3 linked regions of the Ovis aries genome follow. The protein of the gene in region 1 interacts with the protein of each later gene in a pairwise test. Links are inferred from orthologs where the notes say so. Each region holds a gene or a part of one and is shown in the gene's direction. Other genes may lie near its edges.

Region 1 (3,646 bases):
TCATGTGGCTTCTCTGACAGTCTTTCATGGCTCCCACTTGCAGTGAAGTCCTACCAGGCTTCTCATCTCTTACTTTATCTGCCATCTTCACAAGCACTCATGTGCTCCAGCCAGACTCCATCATTTGCCTTTCCACTCTTTGGTCCATGGCATTTCTTCTGCCTGGAAAGCTCTCCTGTTCTTTGACCATAAAGTGAACCTCTAGTCATCCTTCAAGACTCTTTGTGAACACTGCTTCTGAGAACTGTATCAGCTTCTGCTGAATGCTGTCACCCTCGTTGTGCTTAACTAGCCATGATGACATGTATCACATGAACCTGACTCTCACTTGACTGAGTTCCTTGAGAGCAGAGACTGTGGGTTTTTTTTGTTTGTTTTTTCAGACTGCCTTGGTTATCACTGGGGTAATTCAGTTCTCTGCCATTGTATATCCAGTCAGTAAACATTGGAAAAGAATAAGTGAGTGAACAAGATGCTTGTATACTGGGATGAAATAATGAGGTCTTGGGGTAGATAGACAGGGGAGAAATGTGAAGGGCTCTAGAAGCAGCCTTTCCTCTCTTCACTGCCCTTCCCTGTGGTCTACACAGAGCCTGACCCAGATGGAGAGGGAGAAGATTGTTTGGGAGTTTGAGCAGCTGTATCACTCCTTGAAGGAGCATGAGTATCGCCTTTTGGCCCGTCTCGAGGAGCTAGACTTGGCCATTTACAACAGTATCAATGGTGCCATCACTCAGTTCTCTTGCAACATCTCCCACCTCAGCAACCTGATTGCCCAGCTGGAAGAGAAGCAGCAGCAACCCACCAGGGAGCTCCTGCAGGTAAGACTGAAAGTCCTCTGCCAAGCAGTATCCAGGGCCCCCTACTCCCTTGTTGAAACTCTGATTGTAGCAAGGGCATGTTAGAAGGGAAATGTACAGTAGAGGCCCTGGTTGGCACAGCTTGGGTCAGTCAGTTGCACCGTGTCGTGGAAAGGTCAAAAGGAAGACCTGTCCTGCTCAAGCCTGTTCTGCACTGATAAGTGGTCTGATCACAGGCAAGGCTCTTGACCTCTCTGGGCCTCAGTGAACTCAGTTACTCATGTAATGAGGAATTTGGCCCACATGTCATTTAAAGATTCTCCTCACCCCAGTATCCTATAATTGTAACATGTATGTGCGCACTATGACAACCACAAAATAACAAGTGGTCAGCCCAAGCAGTCTTGGGATTTAATCTTGGTTGTATGAGTGATAAAGCTGCAGTAGACCCAGCTCAGCAAGACCACAGGAAATGAGCTGATTGTTTGTCTGTTGTTTGTTCATTCAGTGCGTATGAATTTTCTGTTCTGGGTCAAGCACTGGAATTAAGTGGATAAATAAGCTCTCCTGAAATTTAAATTCTGATGTCAAGATCATATGATAAAGAAGTGAACAAACAAGTTATCATCAGTGTTGCCATTAAAAAAGGGCTGATGGGTTTAGGGTCAAGAAACTATGGGCCACCACCTGTGTTTGTGTGTCCTGCGAGCTCATTGTGCTTTTTAGTTTTGAATAGTTGGGGAAGAAAAATCAGAAGAATGTTTGTTATTTTGTGATATGTGAAATTGCATAAAATTCAAGCTTCATTGTCCATACACTATTATTAGAACGTAGCCCATTTATTTGTTTTGTATTCTCTGTTGCACCAGAGTTGAGTAGTTGTGCCAGAGACTCTATGGCCTTTTTCTTAGAAAAAGTTCAACAACTCTTACTTCACATTAAAAAGAGAAGGCTTAATCTTGAGCTTAATGAACACCAATATTTAATTGTTAGAGAAGGAAGAGCTTGCAGGGGGAATAGTTTACCAGAGAGGCAATATGTGATCAGGGAGGAAGAATGTTTCTGGAAGGAGGCAGTGGACAACAGAGTCTAATGCAGTTGAGGTGAAATAATATGAAGGCTGAGAGCCATTTGGTTTAAAACATGACCATCCTTGATAAACTTTTGTAGAGCTGCCCGAGTGGAGCAGTCTGGGCAGGAACCACGTGAGGAGAAGTTGTATTGACCGAGTGAATGGAAGCTGCGAGAGTAAATGACTATTTCAATAAATAAGGCTGAGGAAGAGATAAAAAGAAAATACTTGGAGATGAGGTAGAATTGTGGGGCTTTATGGGAAGAGGATGCTTAAAGAAACCAGTTAAAGATATCTTTAAAAAAAAATGTGGAGAGGAGCATCTGTTGTAAAGATTCAGGTGAAGAAAATTTACTGAAGCTCTAAGGATGAACTCATCTCTGATGTGCTGTTTCTGAGAAGGCAGAAGGAAGGGTAACTGAAGCATGTAGGAGGGACTTAGCTTTGAAATATCCTCTGTTGTATAAGAAGAAAGGAGGGTGGGGACAGGTAGATGCAGCAGGTTGTGAGGACTGGTAGCAAAAACGTCTTGGCTTCTATCCTCTTTGGCTGCCATTGTGCAGGGGTTAGAGAAAATAATGAGTTTGAGGATTGTGGGAAAGTTCTGGAATTATTGTTTCAGAGTATGGGAAAGCAAATTGGTTCGCAAGACATAGTCGAGTTATTTGGTCAGTGAACGTCAGTTTATATCAGAATTTGTCTGTCCAGGTGTGTGACTTTTTCCCGTCCCGGCTTTGCTTTCTATGATTGTGACTGTTCTGGTTCCAGGCCTAGGGAAAGCTGGTAGTTGGGGTCATCCAGGGTTAGGACTTTGCAAGATGTGAGGGTTTTTGTTTGTTTGTTTTTGGCCTTGCCGCACTATTTGTAGGATCTTAGTTCCTTGACCAGGGATTGAACCTGGGCCCATGGCAGTGAAAGCACAAAATCCTAACCACTGAACCGGTCAGGGAACTCCCCCTGTTCTGGCTTTTTGATTAGGATAAAATATACATAACATAAATTAACTGTTTTAACCATTTCAAAGTGTACAACTTGGTACATTTAGTAAACGTAATGTTATCCAACCATCATAGCTGCATAGTTCCAGAACACATTCATCATCTCAGAAGGAGACCTTGTACCCATTAAACAGTCACTCCTCATCCCATTCTACCCAGTGGCAACCATGGGTTTGCTTATTTTTTTAAGGTATTTGTGAGAATATTTCTGAACACATGGACCATGAAATCAAAACTGGATGATAAAGAAAAGTAGAGAAAGAAGAGGGCAAGTTGTGGACTCCATGGGGGAGAGTGGTCATGGTAGAAGTCATTTGAAAAGTAAACTGAATCTTAACGTGGAGAAGGAGAACATTCCCACTAAGGTCAGGAACAGGGCAAGATGGCCACTGTTGTCTAACTGTATTTTAACGTATGGACACAGAGGAATGTTATGCAACTATAAAAAAAGAAAAAGGAAGATACCTATGATATAACTGATAAAGAGGAGTTTCTATAATGTATTGGGAAGTGAAAAAAATCAAAGTGCAAAATATAGATTATGCTTTTTGTGTAAGAAAGAAGAGATAATTAGAAAATACATGTATCTGTAGGTATTTGCAAGGTAAACACTGGAATGATAAACCAGATAATAATTTGGAGAATGAGATGAGAAGAGATAGGAAAAAAGTGACAGATTCTCTGACCAAGTCTCAGATTTTTTGAGCGCCGAAATTGTTAAGAATAGTGATGAGTTATAACCCATTGAATAAAGTAGGAATTGATGGTTCCATACT
Region 2 (4,337 bases), on another chromosome or scaffold:
ATTTTCTGAGGTAGAAACCTCAGAAATCACACAGAATCCTGTATGCTGCTATGAAGAGTGACAAGTTGGCACCAAGGTTTCTGGCTTGAACAAGCTTCCTGACCTTTACAATAAGATGGAGAAGACTGTGAAAGGGCCCTGACCGTCTGTACCCAAGAGGAGCGCGATGTATGTTAGTATCGCGCCTTGAGTTAGGCGGGGATGGGGGTGGAGAAGACGCCCGTGGTTCCGGCCCTCTCCGCCCCCTTCCTGACCTTTACAATAAGATGGAGAAGACTGTGAAAGGAGCATGTTTAGCCTGGAAGTTCAGGATTTCTGTTTGCACAGGGGTAAGCAAACGTCAAATGAACGTTTAGCACGCAAACAAAAGTAAAAAGAAATCTTAACTTTCTGACAGGTCTCGTCAAGGATTACCCTCAGAAAGGGAAAAGGCAAATCTGAATATCCTCTGCTCTCAGCTCTTAAGGCAGAGACGTTTTTGAGGCACTTGTTCAGTTGCTAAGTCCCGTCCTACTCTTTGCGACCCCAAATAGCCCCCCAGGCTCCTCTATCCTCCACTATCTCTGGGAATTTGCTCAAATTCATGTCCAGTGAGTCGGTGATGCTATCCAATCATCTGTTCCTCTGCCACCCCTTCTTTTGCCTTCAATCTTCCCCAGCATCCCATCCTAAATGGCTAAAATGCTTTCTGAGGTTGCTTTTCATCCCTTGGCTCCCTCTCGTTTCCAGGCTGTCGGTACCCTTTCCCCATCTGATAACGTACTGACAATGCCGCTCCACTTTCTAATTTCCTGGAAGCCTGAGAAACTAGCTAATTAGAATTTTGGGGGGGGGGGTTTAGAATGCTTTCCACGCGGTCAGCATCTTTGTTGGGTGCTGGTCCTACTTCCTGGTTCTGAGGAAAAGAGATTTCATTTCGTAAACAGGGTTCTCGGAACACATAGCTCGGGAGTTGAGAAACTCGAGGCGGGGTCCGACCACCGAGTGACGCTTCTCTTCGCCCCACGGTCCTCCAATGGAGGACCCACCAATTTTCCAATCCCTAGGGACCCACCCAAATCTTTACCCTGGAGCAGGCGCTGCCCACGCAACCTACTTCCCCTCTAACTTTTCTCACGTGCGCTGAAGGGATTTTCCTTCCGAGCAGTCCCTCCACAACCCTGAGGCCAGGGCGCAGACCTCGGACACTTCGCGGAGAAGGTGGCGCGCAAGTCCGGAACCCCTTACCTGCCCGGGCGCGGGGCGCAGGGGCGCACGGGGCGCCGCAGGGCTGAGCCAGCGACCTCAGGACCCAGGCACTACGAAGGGCCGGGGCGTGCCCAATCCGTCAGGTCCCGCCCCCGCCCCTCTCCGCCCCCTTCCTCTTTGCGCTTCCCCCTCGCCGCTTCACTGAGTCAAAAATTCCAGAGAGGCGTTTCTTTAAGTAGGAGCCTGTCCCTTTAAATACTCTTCTGTCGGAGCCTAGCTAGTTTATGGCTTCCGGGCATGCGCACGGCGAGGTGCGGAGGAAACCCTTCAGCTGGACTTGAGGTAGACTGGGCTGAGCTTCTTGGCGCCACGTGGGCTTGTGCAGGGGGCGATGACAGTATCGGCATTGAGACCCTGACGCTCTGTCCCCAAGAGGAGCGCGATGTGAGCTAGTATCGCGCCTTGAGTTAGGCGGGGATGTGGGTGGAGAAGACGCCGGTGGAGCCAATGGCTGTGTCGGGGGTGCTTTGGAAAGCGCCTGAAGTCTAAGCTGCAGGAGTCAGTCCTGCTGGTTGGTGGCAGAAGTAGGAAGTAAGAGTGAATTAGGTGGAGCGTTGGCGGTGGAAGGAACAGGAGGAGCTACTGTCCTTTTTTAACATCCTGCTAGACTCTGCCCTTAGCCACAACCCAAATTCCCAAGCCTTGGGTCAGCCAAACTGCCCTCTCCATGTCCGCCCGGCAGGCTTATCGACACATCTGTGGCATGGAAACTCGACTCTGTGTGGGTTCCTTGGCTGCCCTTCAGCACGGTTCCACTCTTACTAGGATGCTTGGCCGTAATTCCCTCATCGTTGTATTCTCAAATTGTTCTCCTATGCCACTAGCTTAGAATGTTTTCCTATCTTGTTCCTACAGCTGAGCTCTTGATCACATCTTGTTGCTTTTGATCTTCTCTAACTGTTCAACAGATTCATCCTGCCTAGTACTATCAGTCATCTTACTAAAACATCTTTTAGGATTGTGTTATTTTCCTGCTCAGACACCTCCAGTGGCCATCGATTAACCACTCAATGGATTCTAAGCCCCTGACAGGGCATTAAGTGTTTTACCTAGTTTGGCACTAATCCGGCCATATTTTCCAGAACTGTGCTAGAAAACACTTTCTCCTACTGCTCTGTATCTGGGCTGTTCAGTTTTTTCTTAACACGTTGCATAGTTTGTTTATGCCTTTGCCTCATTTCTGTCTCCTGAAGTGTTTTGAAAATGTGGCCACTTCTTGCATTATGCTTGACTGATTATTCTAGGCAAAAGTGACCCCTGTCTTTCTTCCTCTTCACTCTTACTGCTCTTATTTTGTACTAGTCATTGTATTTATTCAATAATCAGTATTGATTGTGCATCTGCTATGTGCTTGATTCTATTCTAATTGTGAGATAATCAATGAATAAGGCAGACAGATTCTTTCATGGAGCAAACATTCTAGTTGAGATAGGTATTTAGTAAATAGTGAAGTAAAATGATTAAATAGAAATATGCAGAAAATTAAATAAGATTTTATGAAAAATAGTGACTTGCTGGTTTCTTCCGATTATTGGTCAAGGAAGATCTCTTTAAGGATATAATTGAAGAGAGGCTGATTTAATCAACAGGAACAGCTGGCATAAAGGAACTGAAGAAGGCCAGTGTAGCTGAAGTATAGTGGATAATGGGGAAAGGGTACAGGACAAATTTGGAGAACAGAGTTCAGAATCTTAGAAGTCTTTGGAAGCCAGGGTAGGTAATTTGGATTTTATTATAAATGTGATTAGAGGGTTTAAATAGGGTTGTGCTATGATTTAATTTTCCTTTTTAAATCATCATTCTGGCTACTATGTGGAAAATTGACTATGGTGGATTAGTAATAGAAGCAGAGATTAGAGGCCTTCATAGTGTATAAGAATTTCTGGAATGAACGTATTAAAATAGAGGTGATGAAAGTTAGGGCTAATCAGAGAGCCAGATGCTTAAAGGTGATGCAACTTTTGGTGACGAGAAAATCAAAGCTAAGACCAAGATAAAGTAGAAGGTTTGAGGTTGAGATTAAGGAACTGAAGGACTGTGATGTTAAATGAATCATCCATACGGATGGTTGTGGAGGTCAGGCTGGATAGTATATTTTAAGCTAGGTATTAAAGTCATTAGTGAGTGAAGAAGAATTGTCCTGAGACCAGAGAGAGGGTGGCAGCAAATAGTACAGCCTGATGGCATGAACTTCAAAGGAAATGGGATTTGAGGAGGTAGAGGAAGAAGAAGTGGTTTGGAAGCAGCAGTGGCAAACACGGAAAATATTTACAACCTCCAGGTCCCCAGGTGGGTATGAAAGGAAAATAGCTGTCACATAGGAGGACTACAGAAGAAGCAGCCCAAGGGAAATAGCCAGGTTTCAGTTCAGGCAAGAAACTGAGGAGTCTGTGCAGGAAATTAAGGAATGAGGAAAAATAAATATATCCTATTTATTTCCTAGGACAGTAGAATATTAGGAAATTTCTGTGAGTTCCACATTACAGAAAGGATGGAGTGGAAGTGGTTTTCTAAATTGGTTCAGATGAATAGATACACGGTAGAAATGGGATGAAGGTCCAGATGATGTATTACCTGGAGAGCATGATGAACACAAAGATTTGGGCAGTACCAGTTCCTTGGGCATTTTATCTCTCCTAAAACTCCACTTGGTAGCCATGGATTGTGTGAAGAGTGAGTGAAGGTTGCTTCAAGAAGCTCTGTAAATGTGTCTTCTCTCTGATGCCAGAGAGAGATGGTTGTGCTTTTCTTATGGGTCAGCTGAAAAAGTTTGTATCTGAGCTTTCATGAAGGTTTAAGGTCCAAGGTTAACATAAGCCTTCCTTGAAGCCTAATCACATTGCATGTTGGTTTTATTTAATTAATTTCTTTGGCCATGCGCCTTGGAATCATGCCCAGCAGATCTTAGTGCCCTGACCAGGGCTCAAGCCTGCACCCCCTGCATTGGAAGCTTGGAGTCTTAACCACTGGACTACCATGGACATCCTGCAAATTGTTTTTAGTACTTCATTATATGTCATTGTGGACTGTTTTTTTCCTGTCTTCCCCTCAGCCTTTACCCTACCCCTATCCCTCCATATATTAGTATC
Region 3 (4,217 bases), about 18 Mb from region 1:
ATTGTGAAATTAGGGGACAAAAACAACTTAAAAATGGGGGTAATGTCTATGTAGGAAGACGCCATTAGCAGGCCTATTTAAAAAGGTCCTTTAGAGGGAAGTGGGAGAGGGGTTCAGGATGGGGAACACACGTACAACCATTGCGGATCCATGTCAATGTATGGCAAAACCACTACAATATTGTAATTAGCCTCCAATTAAAATACATAAATTTATATTAAAAAAAAAAAGATCCTTTAGACCTTCCAATATGTGGAAGGACTGTGATAGCAATAACCAGGAGTGACGGGTGAGGAACAATCAGCCCACTTCAAGAGTCCTTTGATGGGATAGAAATTATGTGGACTAGGGTCTGCTTCCTGCCCTCTCCCGGCCCCATCACTGTGGTACACAAGCACAGAAACTCAAAAAGGGCAAAAAACACCGACAAGACTTTCAAAGGATTCAAAATGCTAATATTAGATCTCATTCTGAGTCAAAACTAGATCGAAAATAAAATCAAGGGTGAAGATTTATAGTAGATTAATAAGGGATTAAAGATGTCCATTGGCGGTCTGAATTGGACAGATAAAAGAAGGTTATTTCCTGAACAGTTTGTCCGCATCTAGGTTCTCTTGGTCAGAAAGTGACGGTTATTGGTTGAAACAGAGATTTGATCATCTGAATTTCAAGCATGGCACAAGTCCTTTCACGGGGATCAATTATCTGAGGAGAGAGAGGCTCTTATGAACCAACCGTTAGTCACGTGTTGTGTTGAACAGTTAGCAACTCTGGACCGTCCGGTCAGTTATTGATTTTCCTCCACCGATTGAAAAAATCAGATTCCGAACGGAAAGAGGGGAGTGGGAAGGATAATAACCAGAGTGTCATTGAATTGGGAGATGTTAAAAATGGGCAGCAACCAATACATGGGCCCTTATATTTAGGTCAAAGATTTATATACCTAAGTATATATGCTCTTTTCAAAAAATATTTGACTCAATAACCTCATTACCCCCAAAGAAAACAGCACCTTCTCCTTCTTCCCAGAGGTCCCTTTCTTTACCTGCTTCTTCCCCGGCCCAGGAGAAAGAACTTTCAGCCCCGCCTCCCACCTCGTCCAAGCTCCGCCTTCTCGGTTCACCTGTGTGCCCAGCCCCTGACGTCACTGTTCGGCTTCAGCGGCCTGCAGGATTCTGGCTCCCGATTGGTCCGTCTCCCACAGCCTGCGCAGCCCACCAATGGCAGCGGCGCTGGGTTGGGGGGTGCCCACATCCAAGATGGCGCCCCCGGGAGCTGGGAGCGGGTGACCGGCAGCGGGGAAGCGGCCTGAGCTGGCCCTGCGATTGCGGGGTCCTGGGGGCATTTCGCTGGGTAGCCCCTGGCCCGCCTACAAAGCCTTCCCCGGGCCGGAGCAATGGCCGCCGAGAATAGCAAGCAGTTTTGGAAGAGGAGCGCCAAGCTGCCGGGGAGGTGAGCCCAGGACGCTGAGAGGAAGAGGAGATTGGATCAAACCCTTCTAAATCCTAAGCCCTAATTCCCGCGGGCCTGGGGCGCCAGCGATCCGAGAATGCTGGTTTGGAGAACCTGGGCGTGGGGCGGGGGGGAGCTGGGACTGCTTGGTGGCGGCAGGACGGCTGTCAGGCAAAGGAGTGGGCGGCGAGCTTTGGAGATGGTTGGGTGTGGGACCAGACCCGGGTCCGGGGGCGTCGGGCTCTTGAGGGGCTTCCCTCAGCCGGGAGGTGGCCGGAGTCCGCGCATAGGGGACAGTGGAGTTGAGTGAGTAATCAGTGTCGGTTCTGGGTTTGGAAGGCTGTCCTCAGAGCTGCTTCTCACTTTAAGAAGAACTCCTACTTGAGAGGGCAGGGGTCTTCACCACGCACAGGTGGTTGTTTGCACGAGGATGGCCCCTTCACTTGCCCCTCGCCCCTGCACGTACGAATATTTCTCCTGGACTCCTAGAGAGGTTCTGGTGGGAGCTTGAGACCGTCTGCCGGGGGGCGGGGTGGAGGGGGCGGGGGGATAAGAAAAGTGAGGGAAATTCTTCAACTCGACCTCACTTTAAGATATCTTGAGTTGGTCCTTTCCCATTAGGAACTATTACAGGATAACTTAGGATCGAGATGATTTCTTTAGCATTTTCTAAGGATTTGTCATACCCCAGTGGCCTCTTCTCCTCTGCCTGGTAATGCTTCTTGTGCAAATGCATTAAATTCTTTCATTCTAGAGTTGTTTAGGTGGAGAACAGATTATTTCTAAGATAATCTCCACTCCCGTCCCACCCCTTTTTGGTATACGTTGAGACTCTTTAACAATTGTCCATTCGTCAGTCTACTATTGGTTTATAGTTTCAATTTGTTTGGGGGTAGTGCTGAGAAGTAAAAGGAGGAGTGTATGTTTCAATCTTAAATTTAAGATTTCAGCCAGCCACAGTCTGTTTGACGATGAAATTCATGATTGATTGTACCCCATGTGCTACCCTTCCTGGCTGACTGATAAAGGGATAACCCTTTAAACCTGTAGCTTTTTTGGTTTGTTTTATCAATAGCAAGAGAGAAATCAGGGTCAGTGGTGGCTATATGGTGGACTTATTTATTGATAGGATCCTGTTAGACAGTCAGGGATCAGTTTTTCTTAATATAGTAAAAAAAAATAGGGTAAGGGAATTCAGAAATAACTTCAGATTGAAATGTTGTGGAATAACAGTGTTAATGCTAAAGACTTTTATGTTTTTAGATAGGCACTACTTCCTGCCTACTGATTCCTTTTCCTTCCTGGTCTAGGGAGCTCTCCAGTCTTGCTAACTGCTGTTCTCCGGGGTTTTCCATGGTGAGATCATTAAATTTTGACATCAAAAGTTAGATCTATAGGAAAACTGTTAAATCAGGAAGCAGTATTTGATATGTGGGATATGGCATAATCTTTTTTGTGCCTACCAACTGCTGATTGTTACTAACAGTTTTTATTTTCTGTGTTTCCTCTTTTGGATTGTAGAAGCAGTCATCTTTTTTGCAGAGCACTATTTTTTGTGAGATAGGAAGAGGGATCTTTTCAGTTTCTTTAAGTTTGTGGCTTCCTTTTTCATTTTGAAGAGGAATATGAAAGGATAGAGGAGAGAACATTTGAGTTCTGAAAGCTTTGGATTATTATTGGAGTGTTATCTGTGTGATCAAGGAGAATTAATCTCTTTAAGCCTCAGTTTCCTTATCTGTGAAAAGAGGATAAAAATACTTTCTTCAAGATTCCATTGTGGATTGAATTAAACATCCTATTTGTAAAGCACCTCTTGGGGCTGGTGCATGGGGATGACCCAGAGAGATGTTATGGAGAGGGAGGTGGGAGGGGGGTTCATGTTTGGGAACACATGTAAGAATTAAAGATTTTAAAATTAAAAAAAAAATAAAATAAAACAATGTTTATTTATAGTTGCTCAATAAATACTAAGTATTTCTGTTATTATTAGAGAAAGTATACATTTAAAAGAATACTTCTCTGATCCTTATTCCAATAAGAGGTATTTATGTTCATTATTTATCTTAAGACATTAAAGTGTTGCCATGATTCATAATGGTGTTTAGTACCTTGCTTGTTGAAGAGAAATATTGTTCAACTATGCACTTTTAGCAAGAAGCCCTAGGAGCCCTTGGTTATGGGAGAAAATCAAAATTCTTTTAGAGAGAAAGTGCTTTGATGTAAGGAGAATATTAGTACATTTTCTCAAGAATAGAACTTTTGCATTTGTATTCTTTCGGGTATAGTGAAGAAAAACTGTCTGGGTGGAGAAATGACACAGATAACTGTCTAGGTCCATGGCAACTTAGAAGTGAGACTAGCTTCCCCTTTGCAAATTGAAAGGTAAAAATTCAAAACGATAGCAGATGACTTTCAGTTTCTTTGATCATGATCCAGCAACCTTAATTACAGCAAATAGGAATTTTATGTAGTAAAATAGCCTCAAGTTCAAAACGAATTAAACATCCTTCTGTAAAATAACAGCTTTATTGAGATAATTCACATATCATAAAAATTCACCCTTTTGAAGTGTATAATTTGGTGGTATTTAGTACATTCATTTAGAGTATAAATGGTTTTGTGCAACCATCAACACTAATTTCAGAGTATTTTCATCACCCCAAAAGAAACCTCATAGCCATTAGTAGTCACTCCTCCTCCCCACCTCTCTCTGGCCCTTGGCAACCACTGATCTTTTTGTTTATATGGATTTACCTATTCTGAAC

The links.
Region 2: the proteins of TRIM27 (region 1) and PUS7L interact in binary tests that used the Homo sapiens proteins (3 or more experiments, as listed by UniProt). The two-hybrid records come from large-scale screens. The link is inferred for Ovis aries from reciprocal best matches to the Homo sapiens genes TRIM27 and PUS7L.
Region 3: the proteins of TRIM27 (region 1) and TBC1D22B interact in binary tests that used the Homo sapiens proteins (3 or more experiments, as listed by UniProt). The link is inferred for Ovis aries from reciprocal best matches to the Homo sapiens genes TRIM27 and TBC1D22B.

What each region holds. Positions count from the first base shown.
Region 1 is NC_056073.1:29,121,727-29,125,372, forward strand, and holds part of TRIM27 (zinc finger protein RFP), read left to right. Parts: intron 1-590; coding exon 591-821; intron 822-3,646. UniProt on the Homo sapiens protein: E3 ubiquitin-protein ligase that mediates ubiquitination of various substrates and thereby plays a role in diffent processes including proliferation, innate immunity, apoptosis, immune response or autophagy.
Region 2 is NC_056056.1:142,993,941-142,998,277, forward strand, and holds the start of PUS7L (pseudouridylate synthase PUS7L), read left to right. Parts: upstream 1-1,493; 5' UTR 1,494-1,530; exon of another isoform or gene 1,531-3,537; intron 3,538-4,337. UniProt on the Homo sapiens protein: Pseudouridine synthase that catalyzes pseudouridylation of mRNAs.
Region 3 is NC_056073.1:11,213,393-11,217,609, forward strand, and holds the start of TBC1D22B (TBC1 domain family member 22B), read left to right. Parts: upstream 1-1,373; 5' UTR 1,374-1,396; coding exon of another isoform or gene 1,397-1,452; 5' UTR 1,453-1,549; coding exon 1,550-1,758; intron 1,759-4,217. UniProt on the Homo sapiens protein: May act as a GTPase-activating protein for Rab family protein(s).